2 linked regions of the Drosophila melanogaster genome follow. The protein of the gene in region 2 interacts with the protein of the main gene of each other region in a pairwise test. Each region holds a gene or a part of one and is shown on either strand. Other genes may lie near its edges.

Region 1 (7,973 bases), on a different chromosome or scaffold from region 2:
GAAGGAAATAGTTACAAAATAATAATTTACCCGCGGAAACGCTCTTTCAACAGTAAATTTCCAATGCTAAAGTTTATATTGTCCGGACAATAAGAAACTTAGCCAGAATTAAAAGTAGTTGGCGCACCACAAGCCGAATCCAAAGGATATCCTCTTCACCAACATACAAGGCACAGTCTTGACTTTTCTTCTTCCCAAGAACAAAGTCCGGCGCTCCTAGAATCGCAGCTCGTTTCTAACTATCCTCTCGTATACGGATGGGGTGAGTGGAGCATACACGCCATCCGGTTGGGCGTAGAAGAGTTCATCGTCGATGATCTCCGGATTGAAGCCCTGCTGCTGAAGCTCCACCTTGCGCAACTTGAAGGTGCCCGTCAGGTCGATTTTGCGCAGGAATCTGAGAAACTGCGGCCTGGCGTAGTTGGGCAGGGATTTGGCCAGTTCCACGCCCAGCTGGCTGACGTTGACCTCCCGAGTGGGATCGTAGATGGCTGCCATTCCTGCTCTGCCCTCAGTGTTGGGTATGCTTACGCCGTACACAATCACATCCTTGTAGCCAGCCAGATTACTCAACTGCGCCTCCACCTCGCTGGTGGAGACATTCTCACCCTTCCAGCGGAAAGTGTCGCCGGTCCGATCTTTGAAGTACAGATAGCCCCGCTCATCGGCCACCAGCAGATCGCCCGAGATGAAGGCCATGTCGCCCTTGGAGAAGACATCGTGGACCACCTTCTTGGAGGAGGCCTTCTGGTCAACGTAGCCGAGGAACTCACGGCAGGGATTACCCCGCACAATCTTTCCAACGAAGACGCCTGGCTCATCCGCCTCGCATCTCTCACACAGTCCTTGGCTGTTCCTCAAAGGCTCTCCCGTATGTGGATCTGCTTTTATGATCGATATTGGGTAGATCTGCGGCAGTATGCGGGATATGAATCCAATGGCGCCCACTGTGCTGTCATTGTTCATGATGTTGGCATTGCCCTCAGTGGCTCCGTAGAACTCGCCCACTTTTCGAATCCCGAAGCGCTCCACGAACTGCGGCCAAATCTGTGGACGCAGTCCATTTCCGAACACCATTCGCACTTGGTGGTTCCGATCGTGAGGAGCCGATGGCGTGGCCAGGATGTAGCGCGCCATCTCCCCAATGTACTGTCCCACCTGGCAGAAAAATAAGGCACATTAATACAACATATTGGATGATCCAATAGCCAGTTACCGTGCATTGGAAGCGGGCGCAGTCTGAAAAGTAACCGGAGGCGCTGAATTTCTTCCTTATGACCACGGTGGAGCCGAAGAGTAAGGCCTGGCCCATGCTCATCACTCCGCCAGCGGTGTGATATAGGGGCAAGGGAGTATAGAACACATCCTGATCCTTGAAGCCAAGCGTGTAGTGAATGCCGGCAGCTATGAAAAAGTACCTGAAAGTAGAGGAATCGTTGTAAAGGAGAAACTTACTGCAGCCAGTGGCAAATCTTACCGAGAATGCGTGATGACGGCTGCCTTGGGCAAGCCCGTGGTGCCCGACGTGTAGATGTAGACCAACTTGTCGTGATGATCCGCCCGAGAAGCGCCGGCGGCCACCTTATCCTTGGCCGCCGTCTCCAGAAGGCCGTTCAACTGCTGGGCCAGTCCCTGGCTAAGGCCCTCGGAAGCCACCACCTCCTGGTTGGACTCGTCGTTGAACTGATACAGTCCGACGTGGGCGGGCAGATCCTTGGCGATATCCATCACGGCCGACCGGAAACTGGCGCCGTAAATGAGCGCCGTGCACTGGCCCACGGTAATGCTGTGCTGCAGTGAGGCTCCACGGAGGTTTGTGTTAATCAGCGGCGTGATCACGCCGATCTTGGAGAGACCAAGCCAGGTGGCTACAAATTCGGCGCGATTCTCGAGCAGCAGACCCACCACGTCGCCCTTTTTGTAGCCGTGACTGTGGAACACGTTGGCCACCCGGTTCGAATGCTCGTTCACCTGGCGGAAGGTCCACTGCTGGGACTCACTGACAATGGCCAGTTTATCCGGCTGCCGGGCCACATTTGACTCAAAGATGTCTCCGATGTTCAGGTTCTTGCGCTCCTGGCGCTTAATGAAGAGCAGCACACGGATGTAGGCAAAGAGGGCTCTAAGGAATACAGTTTTAAAAAAACTCTGGAACTAACTTCCCAATCCTTGTTACTTACACAGTATCCCTGGGTGTGGTAACAGCTGCAATGTAGAACCAGCGCCATCCTGGACGCACCAGCAGTATGGATATCAATGCGGCATATAGCGTGGCCACTCCATACCAAGGCCCTTGGTAGTAGAGGATCAGACCGGAAATGGCGGTCAGGACAGGTGCTAGGATCCACTGAAGATAACGGCGGAAGTTGGATTTGGCAGGTGGTTTCAGGTTTTCCGGTTCGTTCATGGAAATGGAGACCTACAAAGTCACAATTTTAGTAAAGATGCATGTGTTTAGATTGCCAACTGCGAGAAGGAGAACAACGACTGCATCACTCATACGCCGCGTAAGCCCACATAGGCGATACGGGTCTTAGATAGCAAATAGAATAACCCCCCGGGTCTGACACCTCCAGATGAAGTTGATTCAAAGCTTTTCCTGATCTTCAGCTAATTGCTTGTTGTTTAATTTGCACTCTAGCCACCGTAGTTCCATAACCCAACCCGCATCAATCAATTAGCACTTTATTTAAGCAATTTGCAAACAAACAAACCAAAACAGTGAAAAGCAAACACACAGAAAATATATAGAGTGGTATGTGGACAAACAACAACATCTAGTGGCCAAAGCGGTGACCATTCCGGCCGGATGAAAGTTCTCGGAAGTGCATCAAGGCCTTCTTTTCGGCATCGGAGGCCAATCGGTTCGACAATCTGACCAGAACGCAGATGGTCAGCGCCGAGATGAGTCCCAGCATAAAGAACACAACCTAATTATGTGGTGCAATAGATATATTGTATAGTACGTTCTATGATCTCTCTGTGTGTGTCCGTGGTCTTCAGATTACCTTGTGCCAAATGGTCAGTCGATACTGGTTGGCTTTCGGACCGCCCTCCTCCACCAACGGACTATCGTCGGTGCCCGTCATCATGGTATTCAAATCTCAAGCTCAACTCTTTTGACCCTTGGCGCTTCAATGGTTCGGCTGTCTGCCTGTTTGTTTATGGGTTTTGTCTATTTTTTGTTAAACTGACAGTTGGTTCGCAGAAGTAATGTAACATTGAATTTGAACATGATCAGATTTCATTTCATTTAGTTCTGTGACGAAACTTCGTTAATACGACCTTAGGTTTTATTAAATGATCTTTTGCACTTAAAACTATTGATGATGTGCACCACAAGAAAAACATACTTAGCTTAAAATCAGATCTTTTAACCTGTTTCCCCACTTCAAAAGCAATTTATTTCCATAACCTCCATTGAAAACCATTCGAAGTCACCCTGATCTTGACTTTCAAATAGTTTCTGACCAACTCCGCCGAAAGACTTACTTTAGGCTGCACTAGTCTTTTATATAAAACCTGATTATGAGCTCTATCCGCACAGATGACCGATCGCATAATATTCGAGACCCAGACCTAGTCCCGGTTAAATCGGCGGACCAAAAGTAAACTGGTTTCGGTTTTCAGCGGTTTTTGTCGATGTTTGTTTTTGATGGCAACGTGAGTATTATTTTGTCGTCAGATAAGGTTTAGTTTGGCAGCGAGGGGAGCGACGGGACAGGGCCGGGGGATCCACCCATGGAACAACAAAGCGAATCAAGCGCGAAACCCCAAAAAAAATGTACATATGTTGACCACGCTCGTGCGAGTAGGTGAGCATAGTCGTGTGTTATTTACCTGTGGGGGGTTCAAGGCCGTCGAACTTGGGGCGGGCGCAGCTCCACTATTATCAGCCGCATCAGCACCACCTGTAGTGGCCCCAGCACCACCATCAACCACGCCAGCGGTGCACATTTTGATTGATTTCGGACTTAACAGCACATCTACAGAGGCTGCAATCTGATGTTAAGCTTGGTTTGGTCTTCAATTACTGCGCTGCTCAGGTGGCTTTTATTGAGATTTCTGGGCGGTTGCACAAAGAAAAAAGACATTTAAGAATTAATTGAATGTTGTACACTTTTATGGATAGTACAACATAAAAAAGGTATAGCGGGAAACCTATAAATGAGCTCGGTTAATTTATGCTACTTTAGTATGAGACCTATAAAATAGTATCTATACGAAAGTACTTTTAAAAACACTTAGAAAAACTAATTATATGTTAATAATATATATTAATGAGAACCATGGATCTTTAATTCGTTAGCTCACTATCGTAATATGCTTTATTTACATGTTTAAATAAAAATATTCTACATATATATGCTTCGATATAAAATACATATACATTTCACTAAATTGCTTAGCTGTTAACTGGGGGCTACAGTGCTCTAGTTTTTCTCAGTGCACTTTCGCAGCGAAATGATGGGTAATTAGGCGACATGCAGCACTCGGAAGGGGCAGGCAACAGACAAACAGATAGCAAACAAAAAGAGAAAAGGCGAAAAAGCTGAGAAAAAGCCGTGGTAACGATGTGGGGAATTCGCAATTGTAGTGCACAGGTGACACCAGTAGAAATGATGGAGAAAAATTGCCTTTTTTGACGCGGCCTGAATGATGCTGCGACGTTTTTGAGTTCAGCTTTTCAGCTATTCAGCGATCGTGGTCTCAAGGTGAGTTTTGGGGTCTGATGCGGTTGTTTATGCGCGACGAATGGCAAAAGCCAAGTTGAGCGGTGCTACAGGTGGCCCATAAAGGCCCATAAAGGTTAATGTATGGTAAACTCAGTTAATGGAAGAGGCAATTAAAGTGAGTTTTGCGTTCAGGAAGTTAGTCTCGGCTTGGAGGATAGATTTAAATGGGAAATGGGCATTTGTTTACTTGAAATAAGTAGTTGAAGTAAATAAAGAATTCAAGAATTTATATAACTTAACAAGCATATAACAAGTACAAAGCTGTTCTCCAATGTTAAACGAAGTGCATGAATAATAAAAATCCAAAAGATACAGTTTAGCTAATTGACTTCAATAGAAACCCTTTTAAGCTAATGGCTCTTGTGTCAAAAAATTAATCATTAAAATATGTTTAGCCCATTTCCCTTTCGGCTTGTTCGCTAATTTGCCAATGCATAAACATGGCTTTTACTCAGCCTGCGGCTAGTTTAAAACTTAAGTTTCAGTCCTCGTGTTGCAAATTATTTTTTACAACATTTTGCCCATGCAAACATTTAGTGTAGCTACTTCATCACTGTGGTTTTTTTTGTTTTTTTTGTTTTAGTTTTTGTGGCACACATATAGGCAAACACATAAGATCGGCAGAGATCATTAAGAGATGCGGATGTTGGCGACGCTTCATCACTTTCACTGAAATCTTCTTCTCCTTTCTTTTGTTAAATTGCTTTGCCTTTTGTGGGTCCCCACATCTCAAGCTCGGAACATTCAGAGGATGGGGATTAAGAGATTCGAGATGAGATGTGGGATGCGATCAAATTGCGGCTGAAATTGCTGTTCACTCTATTAACTTGATGGATATATTGCACGCACAACCAGAATCGAAACAATCTTGCTCTCGAAGGTCGTTTTTGAGGTATAGCGACTGCATTTAAAAAACTTGTTGGATTCCGAGCTTTTAGGAAATATCTTATCACTCTCTGTAGTAAGTAAGGGTGATCAAAAATCACTAAAATATAATTATACTTATGAAGCACTTGGATAAAATTATTTTCAATAAAGGTGGAGTCCTTAATATAGAAATTTACACTATCCATGTTTCACTGTTTCGTAGATCTTTCCTATCGTTTAATTATTAAACTTTCTCGGATGTTTTTAACCGATATTTCTATAGAATTTTACTTGATGTTTTTTGCAGTTTGGTGCGAGTTTAAGTCGAAGTTTAAGCCGGCGACGTCTTTCGGCCAACAGCTTCGTTCAGCAACTGGGCCCAAAAAGCTAACTGCCTCTGGATCCGTTGTTGCCGGAGCTCTGCCGCCGCCGACGTCGACGTCGGTGGCAACAGGTCGCCGTCGCGAACACAGATACACACTGGCACACTGGCAAAAGCCAAGCTTCGGGTCGAAGCTCTGCTGCTGAGCCAAGTTAACAAGGTGCTGGCGCTGTTCTTGTTGTTGGTGGCCGGCTGAAATTGTCGGTTGCAATTCTGCTGTGTTTGCACGTGATTATGCCGCATGCAACATGTGTATTGTTTCAATTGCCGTGCCTCTTAAGCGAGTTTCCTTTGTGGCCATTAACATGTCAACAACCACAGAGCGTCAAGAATGTGGCCATAATGGAGTGGTGGGGGGCTGCAAAGGGGGGTGGGCGGCTGCAGTGGGCGGGGGCGCAGGGGAAGGTCGCGCGGAATGGAGCGCACATTTAATTCAAAACACGTGTCTCGTATTCGTACTCTCTTTGTGGCTGTTGCCCTCGACTTCTGCTTTGCGATTCTTTCCCTCGCCTTTCTTTCTATGCATAAGTGCACTGGGAGAAATACCCTGGGAGTTTACCCTTCACATGCATTGTTGTTAACCCAATTAGGTTGTTTCAAGCCTCTTGCCGGACTAAAGTAAAGCTTAGTTAAGCCTATTCTATTGCACCAATTAAAACATCATTAAACTGATAATATCAACCATTTGTGGGCTTGTAATTTGAAATGTATTTTTCGCGTGTATCTACAAAGTACATATGTATGTACATGTATCTTTGTACGCGCAATCGATGCGTTACCCCTATGCCAACTCCTGCCCCCTCCCGCCACAAAACTCCGAGGCAAGTGCAACGCAACCGTTTATTAAATATAATTTTGCATGCTCATTTCTTTGGCTCCGATCGGTAGCCATGACTGGGCTTAATTGTTATAAACAGTCTGTGGGACTGGGCGAGATAGATCCGCTGTGCTATAGCTAAGCAGTTTTGCTCGGATCATTGCAACTGGGTCAATTGTGGGTTGCCCAATACTTTTGGGTTTGCAGCTGAATGACAGCTCAAAATACTTGCAAGGCACTTTTATTCGCTTAGAGCTACATTTATATCTAATACAACAAGCTTTCATATCGTCTAATCATATTACAATAAAGCTGAACCCACTTAACGAGATTATCGTTGTAGTTTAAATAGCGCTAATAATACGGGTATACGAACTCAAAGCTCTACTAAGGCTGTAATTGTACGAACTTCGACCTAATGAGTAACAATTGAATCACGAGAAGTATAGCAATATCCAGAATCGCTAAATATATTAGTAAATTATAAGCTTAAAAGCAAATGAGAAAAATTTCCTTTAAAAGAATAGGCTGGACCAAAATTAAGCACTATACATTCATAGCTCTATGTCCTTTACAAACTTGCCTTGTCCTTCGTCGGAACCGAAATTTCATAGCCCATTCGGCTACCTGTGAGCCATAATTCATATCTGTCAACAGAAAGTTTCGAATGGCATTACATGGCTGTGGGAGCCCTAACAATTTTTATAGTTCCCGCCAATCAACAGCTCGTAGATACGCCAAGATATACCAATAGCACAAGGCTCCAAAGATATGCCCGACATTCGATGGTCTTTTTCACACGTTTCCCAGCAGACATAAAGTGTCTGTGCAAAAAAAGGCAGCCGCACATTTGTGCAGTTTATATATATATATATATACTTTGCATTTTTTTTTATATATATAGCCTGGAATATATTTTACCCTTCGGGGGCTTGCCCTTCGCCCTTCGCCCTCCGCTCTTCCCTCTGCGCAGTTCGGTACTTGAGAAGGGAACTTCTGCCTGCGCTTGTGGATTTTGTCAAGTGGATTTCTGTCGAGTCTTTGAGATCATTAAAACAACATCGTTAGGGCGTCCATAATGAAGTACTAAAGAGGAACCCAAGAAGCAATCCCTCGACGACCAAAAAAGAAGCAAGTTCCCGAAATGAAGAATTCAATTTCAAGGCGATAT
Region 2 (7,822 bases):
GAGTTGCAAAAAAAAATGTATATGTAAAGTAACTTGGAGGCCGCTTAGTTATCCCGGATGCCCGTTCCGTAGTTGGCGCCGCCGGCACGGTTCAGTGCTTCACGGAAGAGCTCAATGTCCAGCTCGGCCTCCACTCCCGCCTGAAGTTCCACGGCAAAATTCTGCAAGAGATTAGAGATGAGAGGATCTATTTCTGCCTCTGGGCTCTGGCATCTCTAGCTATTGGCTACTCACGTTGAGGACATCCTTGATCAGCGCCTTGTCCGTGGACATCTTGGCCCTCTGGATGACGCCCACCTCCTGCCCGATCCACGTCAGGAAGATGAACTTTTTGCGCTTGGACATCTCGTCACCCATCTGGATGCGTATGTAGCCAAAGGCGCGCTCCGAGTCGCCGAACTGCTGTCGGAATTCCTCAAAGCACTGACCGCGCGCATGTACAATAATCTGGGCGCCATCGAACTTGAATACCGCCCACTCGGTGTCTGTCAGATCGGAGCGTACATCCTCGTAGGCCTCGCGAATCGAGTCCTTCTCCAGCGACGTGGCCAGCGGCATCTGCGAAAGAGCAAGGGGGAAGAGGATTATAAGCAAGCGAAGAGGGGAACTATAAGCAACTTTCAGACGGAAGTATATATCTTAATCATGTATTCCAAGTCCGAATCGTTTCGCCAAGGCGAATGGATCATCCGCTTTGGCCCATCGATAGCGAAATGTATTGTATGTACTCAATGCGGGGCCAAGTACTCTTGACGGCGCCATCTATGAGTCAGATTTAAGCGGTGCTTTCGCTTTCGATGGTTATATTACATTCAATTCGACTTGTTTCCGTGTCAGGCAACCTCAAGTCGGCCAGGGGAATAGGCACGCCATTGCATCGCCCACTTGCATTACGTTCGGGCAGATTCACGGAAAGCAATTTGTTGCCGCTTTAGTGCTTTATAAACATAATACCAGCGGGCCAGCGGAAAAGTAGCCAATGTAAATATGTACATATTTCGAAGAAAAAATAAAGGCTTTATTATGATAACATACTGGAACATACCCGCATATTAAATTACAGCATTTTTGATAATGATATCAGCACACACATATGAGGGTTCAGGGTTCTGGTTCAAAGCCCAAAAATATGATGATTTAAAAATATCGATATGTAAATGAATTTAAATTGCTTGATAAGTTCGAATGGCTTGATAGTGAAATGTAAAAAACCAAGTCTCAATACGATTTTGGTTAGCTAAAGATTAATTTTAATTGTGGTTTATTAAGTGATCTTTGGGGTAGCATTATGTGCACAAAGTTAGGCTCAGCTTAGATGCGTGGAAAGCGTGTAAAGCGATTGGATCGATGGTTTTTGATACGAGTATACTTGTAGTACGGATCGGAAAACTACCCTTTCACGTAGTGCACTCTTATTGTCTTAAGCGGATCGCCGCATTAAAATCAATTTACGCGTGACAATTTTCAATCAGCAGCCGGCGGAAAGCAGGTCAGAGATTTGATAAGTGACTTGGGGTCGTCGGAACGGGATGACAACAAACAAAGAGAGCCAAATGACTGTTGGTCCAACTGCCAGCCAAATGGATCGGGCTTGGAGTCAGGAACTAGACTCGCGTATAAATAGACATTGAAGCTGGGCCAGAGATACGGATACAGATACAGCTAAAGGTACAAATACAGATACAGATACAGATACCGATGGGAAGATGGAGATAGAGATCGCTCTATAATGCGTTCAATGACCGGAGAGTACGGCGTCTGGTGAGAAAAATCAATTAGAAAAGCGACGACTGTCGAAAATATCAAAAGCCAAACAATTAAACCCAAAGATGTTTCGGGCGACGACTTTCACAACGCGACGCAGTAAGAACTTGGAGTTTGTATGTGTATTCTATGCGTCGCATAGAACTATGGAACAGCTCTGAATCTCCCGTTTCGTGGCTCTGAATTAATTAGTCGGAAGGCAGGCAAAAAAAAAAAAAAAATGAACAAGATGCGGACGCAAACTGTGCCAAAAATGAGCGGACGACTAAGAAACCGTTGCAGCGAATGACCCACCGAAAATACCCGACAAATTTTCCCCCAAACAAGCAAGATAGCAGATACAAATGTATATAGAAATGTCGGTGCTCCTCCTGCAACCTCCACGGGTACGTGAGCCAAATTGTTGGCTAAAATTAGCTGAAATTAAGTTTCCAGCCGATAAGCCCGATAACGTTCGCACATATGTATCTATATACATATATATGCCTATATGGCCATATCTCCACTTCTGACACAATGACAACACGACAAATTAGATCACTCCAGTTGGGCTGGGAGTGCACCCAAAGATCGGATAGGATAGGCTCGGATAGCCCCACCTCCGGAATTGACGCAATGCCATCTATTTGCTCTGATAAGAAAACTGTCGCAAAACTAAAGGAACTGTAATTGATTTATTACCGAAAGTTCTTGGGATCGCCCGGGCAATTAGTGCCGGTTAAATCTGTAGGGCTCGCCTGTTCCAATTTTACACGCCATAAAAATTCAGCAGAGATTGACGCTTAGTCATAGGAATCGAGATATTGCGCTGGCTTCAGGAAATATATCGAAAAAAGGGAAACTACAATAGTTTCAAGGAAAGTCAGAGTGCGTCATCCTCGAAAGATTCGCATAGAAAAGCGAGCGACAGTAGCCAGTCCATAATTGATACGGTTAATCGTGATTCGTGATTCTCGATGGAAAACAGTGAGCAACAGTCTGATAAGTAACCTTGTAGCGATGACAGGAAATGTATATGCATACATATTTTCAGTTTCACTTGGAACCACCAATAATCCTAACAGATCCATTGAGTTAGCCACCTTTCCAGCAGGAAAGCCATCTGCCAAACAATTCGCGCTACTCAAATGGCTTGCGGCCATATCCGATAGATAGATGTACATATGTATTATATCTATCTATATATGTGGATTCGTACGTAATGAGCCATATATGCCCATGTGTGCATTCATACAGCACGCTGCATTGCCAGCTAGATATATGTAGCTATAGTATCTATAGCTATATCCATCGATATCTGGCAATGAGCGGGCCGGCGATGCATCAAACGCGGCTATAACTGCAGCTAAACGTAACCAAGCATAATACAGCAAATAACAATTTGCTAACGAAAACGAAACCGAATCCCCAGCGCCAGGTGCTTGAAACTGACTTGCTGCGTAACTCAACGCTGATACCCTTGTGAAAGGTATCGCAGTTGTAGAAATTCTTGGGATACCTTTAAAATAAACATCTATGAGAACGTATTGTATGTAAATAATCCTGTCCTTAAGTAAACAGCAAGCTATCGAGAACTACAGAGTGAATGGTATTATATCCGTATCTTTTATCATTCGATGCCTGGTATACACCACTGACATTATTTCAAGTTAACTCTGTTTGTATAGTTTATATATCTAATTGTATGGTATATATAGATCGTGAGCTCATAAAGCAAATACTGAAGTATGAACAATAAAAGTTAGAGTATTCACTTTCGATTGCACTAAACATTTTGTATTTTATTCGCTTTTTCATTGTGTATGTACAAGTGGACCGAAAGTGTTTTATGTTGACTAATGAATTTCAGATAAGAAACGAAAAAAATTCCAAATAATACGATCGGGCATGAATAAAGGAAAATAAAGGAGAGGCGATGCAGATATATATATGACATACATGCACAGTGAAAACACAATATGCGGAATATTCGTGGGTCGATGCAACTGACTCATTGGCAAGGCAATTGGAAAATAACCAATAAATTGCAGCGAATCGGTTATTAACCGCTTCGCCTTGGCCAGACTAAGTCCAAAAAAAAAAAAAAAATAAATAAAACAAGCAAAAAAAATAATTGGCAATGTTGTGACAAATTGCCAGTTGCCGCAGCGCAGTCGCAATGACGTACTTGCTCCGGGTCTGGGACCGCCGATATGTCAATGTTCTTTTTCCCCCACTTTACTTTACTTTATTTCATTTCATTTTATTTCTTATTTTTATTCCGCTGCCGTCGATGTTTCATTCGCCACGCACACTAGCACAAACAGTGCAGGAAACAAAGGAGCAAACTGTTTTGTGGCTGCTCACGCCCCAGACGCCCGGAGTCGGGGGATCTGGGATGCCGGATGGGGTTGTGGATGGTCATTCTGATGGGTACGGGGTATCGGTATGGGGTACGGGTTGCGGGTTGCGGGAAACGAGGTTCCGAGTGCGTGATTCATGCCGCCTGAAGGTGACGACGACGACGACGACTCGGGGAGTGGATGACCAAAATTGGCGCGTCAGGAAGCGATTCCCGAGCATTGAAAGGGTGTGGAATGGCCGATATCCCCATCGATTCCATACACTTTTATTACTCACTTGTTTGCCTGCACTTGGAAACCTCGAAATTGTAATATTTATTGGCCTGCACAATCGTTTTGTTTGATGCCATAGAGATTAGGTTGGCGAACAAGTGCTGTGCACCAAAAGTCACATGAAACGCAGATCTTGCGATCAGCTGAACGAAGTACCCGCAAGATAATGGCACTGCAACCATTTACCCAGCTCCCAGTGCCCGCTAAATACCGTAATCTGGAAAGCTATACGTGTTTGCCAGGGCGACGGACTGCGCCGCATTAACCGCAGCGTCTTCGTTGGGTATCGATGGTGTCTCGAGATCCCAGCGAGCAAGTGCAGCAGCGGCAGCCGCACTGCAAACGCACTTGAACTTGATATGCATCGCTGCGAAGGCGTCGCATTCGGATTCAGTTTTTGGGTTCGGATTCGGATTCGGAGTCGCCCCCACAATCTGCATCCGCCCCCGCAATCGCATCCAGCCAAGATGATATTGCCCCTCGGTACTCAGTCCCTGTTCCTGCCCTGCCCTGCCCCTTTCCGCCCAGCCAGCCAGAGCCATAAAACCCAGCTGCCACCCCGCCTCCTGGACCTCTGGCCCTCTGGGGCCGGTTCTTGTGGAGCGGAGTCGCCGGCGAGCCAATGTCAGAGTTATTTACAGACACTCACGCATGCCCAGCGATATACACACACGCCGCATGGGCCTGGGCTTCAGCAACTCCAGTGTGTACACCGGAAGAAAACTGTATTTTGTATCCTTAAAGCCAATGTCCGAGTTCAATACCACTGTTGGTAATTGAATTTTTATATTATTGTATATTTCTACTAATCCCCAATATTTTTCAATATATATTTGAACAATTTAAAGTTCGAAAATCGATCATTATTCTCAAGAGAATATTATTTTTTTTTAGCATTCTTTAATTGTAGGTATTTATAATGTAGTGGTGATTAGAACTTTCTTCCATTTTAAGGTTGTGCCATCGGATTGGCTCAGCCTTAAAAGTGATCAGCATACTGAGTACCCGTTTTCTTTCGGTGCATTTATAAGATATCTCTCCGGCCTGCTCTCTGACTCTCTGGACTTCTGGCTGCCCCATCCAATCTTTTATAATTCTTAATTTTCGGTCGTCCCCTGCCGGTATACACACACATTTCATGGTCCCTGCCCGGAGCAGGACTACCGACTCCATCCATCTCCAACTCCAACTCGAACTCCATGTGTGCCCAACCCACTCCCCACTACTCACCCTTCTCGGCTTGCTCTCCACCAATTGCTCGACCTCGATGCCGTCCGACATGCTGGTGCGCTGTGTTCTGGATGTGGATGTAGATATGGTTTTCAATGCGCAGCTGGGATGCTGGTGCTCTTGGGAACAGCTTCCTGGGATCGCGGGTGAGTCTCGAAGGGGAACGGAGTGCTGGTCTGGCGGGAAGAGTTGACCGTTTGCAAGGTGACAAAGTGGCAGAGTGGCAGAGTGGCACAATGACAACGAAAACAAAAATACACAGCGCCAGAAAAACAACAAAAAAACACAATCCAAGCGCACAAAGAGCGATGGACAGAACCAGCACAGTTCCAGATATCCAGATATTAGAGCAGCCGCTGAACTTCGTCCGACCACCACGAGTTGTATCTCACGAATGCGGCGTTGCCGGCGTCTGCAACTCCGAATGAAGTGCCGACCGTCGACCGCCGAAGTCGGCGGCGCAGTCGCCGTGCGTGCGAGCGAGATGCACTGGCCAGAAGGCCCCACGGCAGCTGTTAGACAAACAGCAGGTGCGACAGAGACGGCTGCGTGGGGAGCAAGCGAGAGCGGGCGAACTGCGACGATGTCGCCGCATTTGGCTTTATTTTCATTTTCATTTTCAGTGCAGGCATTTCGGAAACACCAAAAAAAGCCAGATGTTGGCTAGTGTTTTATGCGTACACCGCGAGAAAATTTAGTCTGCTAGATGCTCCTATAATGATAATGAAGTTTGCATAAATACTTCGTGTTAGCCATCTTAACTGGCAATGGCCACAGGAAACCATAACATCGTGCGCAAATATATGTATAGTCAGATGGATAGAAAAACAACGACTGTACTCCTCCATCTAAACTATGTACGTCCTTAAGGATCAGCTGAATCCCTTGAAGAAGATCTCTTCCTCGATGGTGAAGAGGCTTACGAGAAGTGAATTCTATCTATTCTATCAAAACATGAATTTATTGGATTTATTGGGTTTCTTCGGCAACACGGATTCCTGGCATAGTCATATCCAGTATCCCAGTGGAGTCACGTCTTACCACTGCAGCTCCCGGTCATGTTATTTTCCTTCATCGAGGGCTATTCCATTCACTTCCTGCGCCGAAAAAACGAGCAACAATTGCAAGCGAAAAGGTAGTCTTTGAAATAGATGCTATAGGTGCTAATCGGAATCGCTATATATCCAAAACTATGTCTAGATCAGCACTGATCCCTGCCAGCTTGTCGGCTGGGAATGCGATCCGTGGAATTAGCGCAGAACATTTGTGCAAACACATAACGAGCCGAGATTGTATTCTCTGGCACTCAAGTGCCGTAGGAATGCGGCTGATTTGATGATTAGCGCGGTGCGTGGGCCGAACAGCAGCTGCTCCGCCGCTGCAGACGCCATGGATGATGCAGTGCACCGTATTAATTTGTCCCAATCGGCAGGGAACGTCCTCCGCGCAACATGGGAGTTGCCCGGCAACAGGGCTGCCTGGCAGCATGCTGCTAGCCACAAGTTGCCGTGGTGAGTTTGCGCCATTCGGCATCGCCCACGCAACATGTTGCGGCAGCTAGCCCAGCGGAGCGGAGGCGTCGTCCTCGTCCGCCAGTCGTCAGTTGCCCACGACGCGTTACCCGCAACGGTAGCAGGCGAGCCCTCTCCTGGCAGCCAAAGCCGCCAGCTCGTGTGCTCGGATACCCCCGAGTTCCATATCGCAATCTTTGCCAGCCTGCGCGCAAGCGTCGCCGTTTCAATAGCAATTGAGTGAAATTTTATTTTATTTTTTTCGGTGACCCGCAACGGGACATGTCAGGCGGTGGTGGCCAGTGATTGCCACGAATCACCCGGTCATCCGGGATGTTCAACTACGAGGAGGGGGATGCCGACCAGGCGGCCATGGCTGCAGCGGCTGCCTATAGGGCACTGCTCGACTACTATGCCAATGCGCCAAGTGCGGCGGGTCACATAGTGTCGCTCAACGTGGCACCCTACAATGGAACTGGAAACGGAGGCACTGTCTCCTTGGCGGGCAATGCGACAAGCAGCTATGGCGATGATGATAGGGATGGCTATATGGACACCGAGCCCAGTGACCTGGTCACCGAACTGGCCTTCTCCCTGGGCACCAGTTCAAGTCCAAGTCCCAGTTCCACACCCGCTTCCAGCTCCAGTACTTCCACTGGCATGCCCGTCTGGCTGATACCCAGCTATAGCATGATTCTGCTG

The links. Proteins that work in one complex are often made in the same cells at the same time.
Region 1: the proteins of CG6891 (region 2) and Fatp2 interact in a two-hybrid assay, tested with the Drosophila melanogaster proteins (one large-scale study listed by BioGRID).

Annotation. Positions count from the first base shown.
Region 1 is NT_033778.4:23,053,501-23,061,473, reverse strand, and holds the start of Fatp2 (fatty acid transport protein 2), read right to left. Parts: upstream 6,001-7,973; 5' UTR 5,895-6,000; exon of another isoform or gene 5,801-5,894; intron 4,066-5,800; 5' UTR 3,958-4,065; coding exon 3,841-3,957; intron 3,227-3,840; exon of another isoform or gene 3,093-3,226; coding exon of another isoform or gene 3,009-3,092; intron 2,931-3,008; coding exon of another isoform or gene 2,778-2,930; exon of another isoform or gene 2,681-2,777; intron 2,420-2,680; coding exon 2,181-2,419; intron 2,123-2,180; coding exon 1,478-2,122; intron 1,419-1,477; coding exon 1,217-1,418; intron 1,159-1,216; coding exon 217-1,158; 3' UTR 1-216. Other genes in the region: CG44253 (uncharacterized protein), read right to left, coding at 2,778-2,930, 3,009-3,092.
Region 2 is NC_004354.4:18,773,417-18,781,238, reverse strand, and holds the start of CG6891 (uncharacterized protein), read right to left. Parts: upstream 6,012-7,822; 5' UTR 5,661-6,011; coding exon 5,610-5,660; intron 4,742-5,609; exon of another isoform or gene 4,384-4,741; intron 1,607-4,383; exon of another isoform or gene 1,394-1,606; intron 559-1,393; coding exon 235-558; intron 162-234; coding exon 45-161; 3' UTR 1-44. Other genes in the region: CCKLR-17D3 (Cholecystokinin-like receptor at 17D3), read left to right, coding at 7,454-7,822.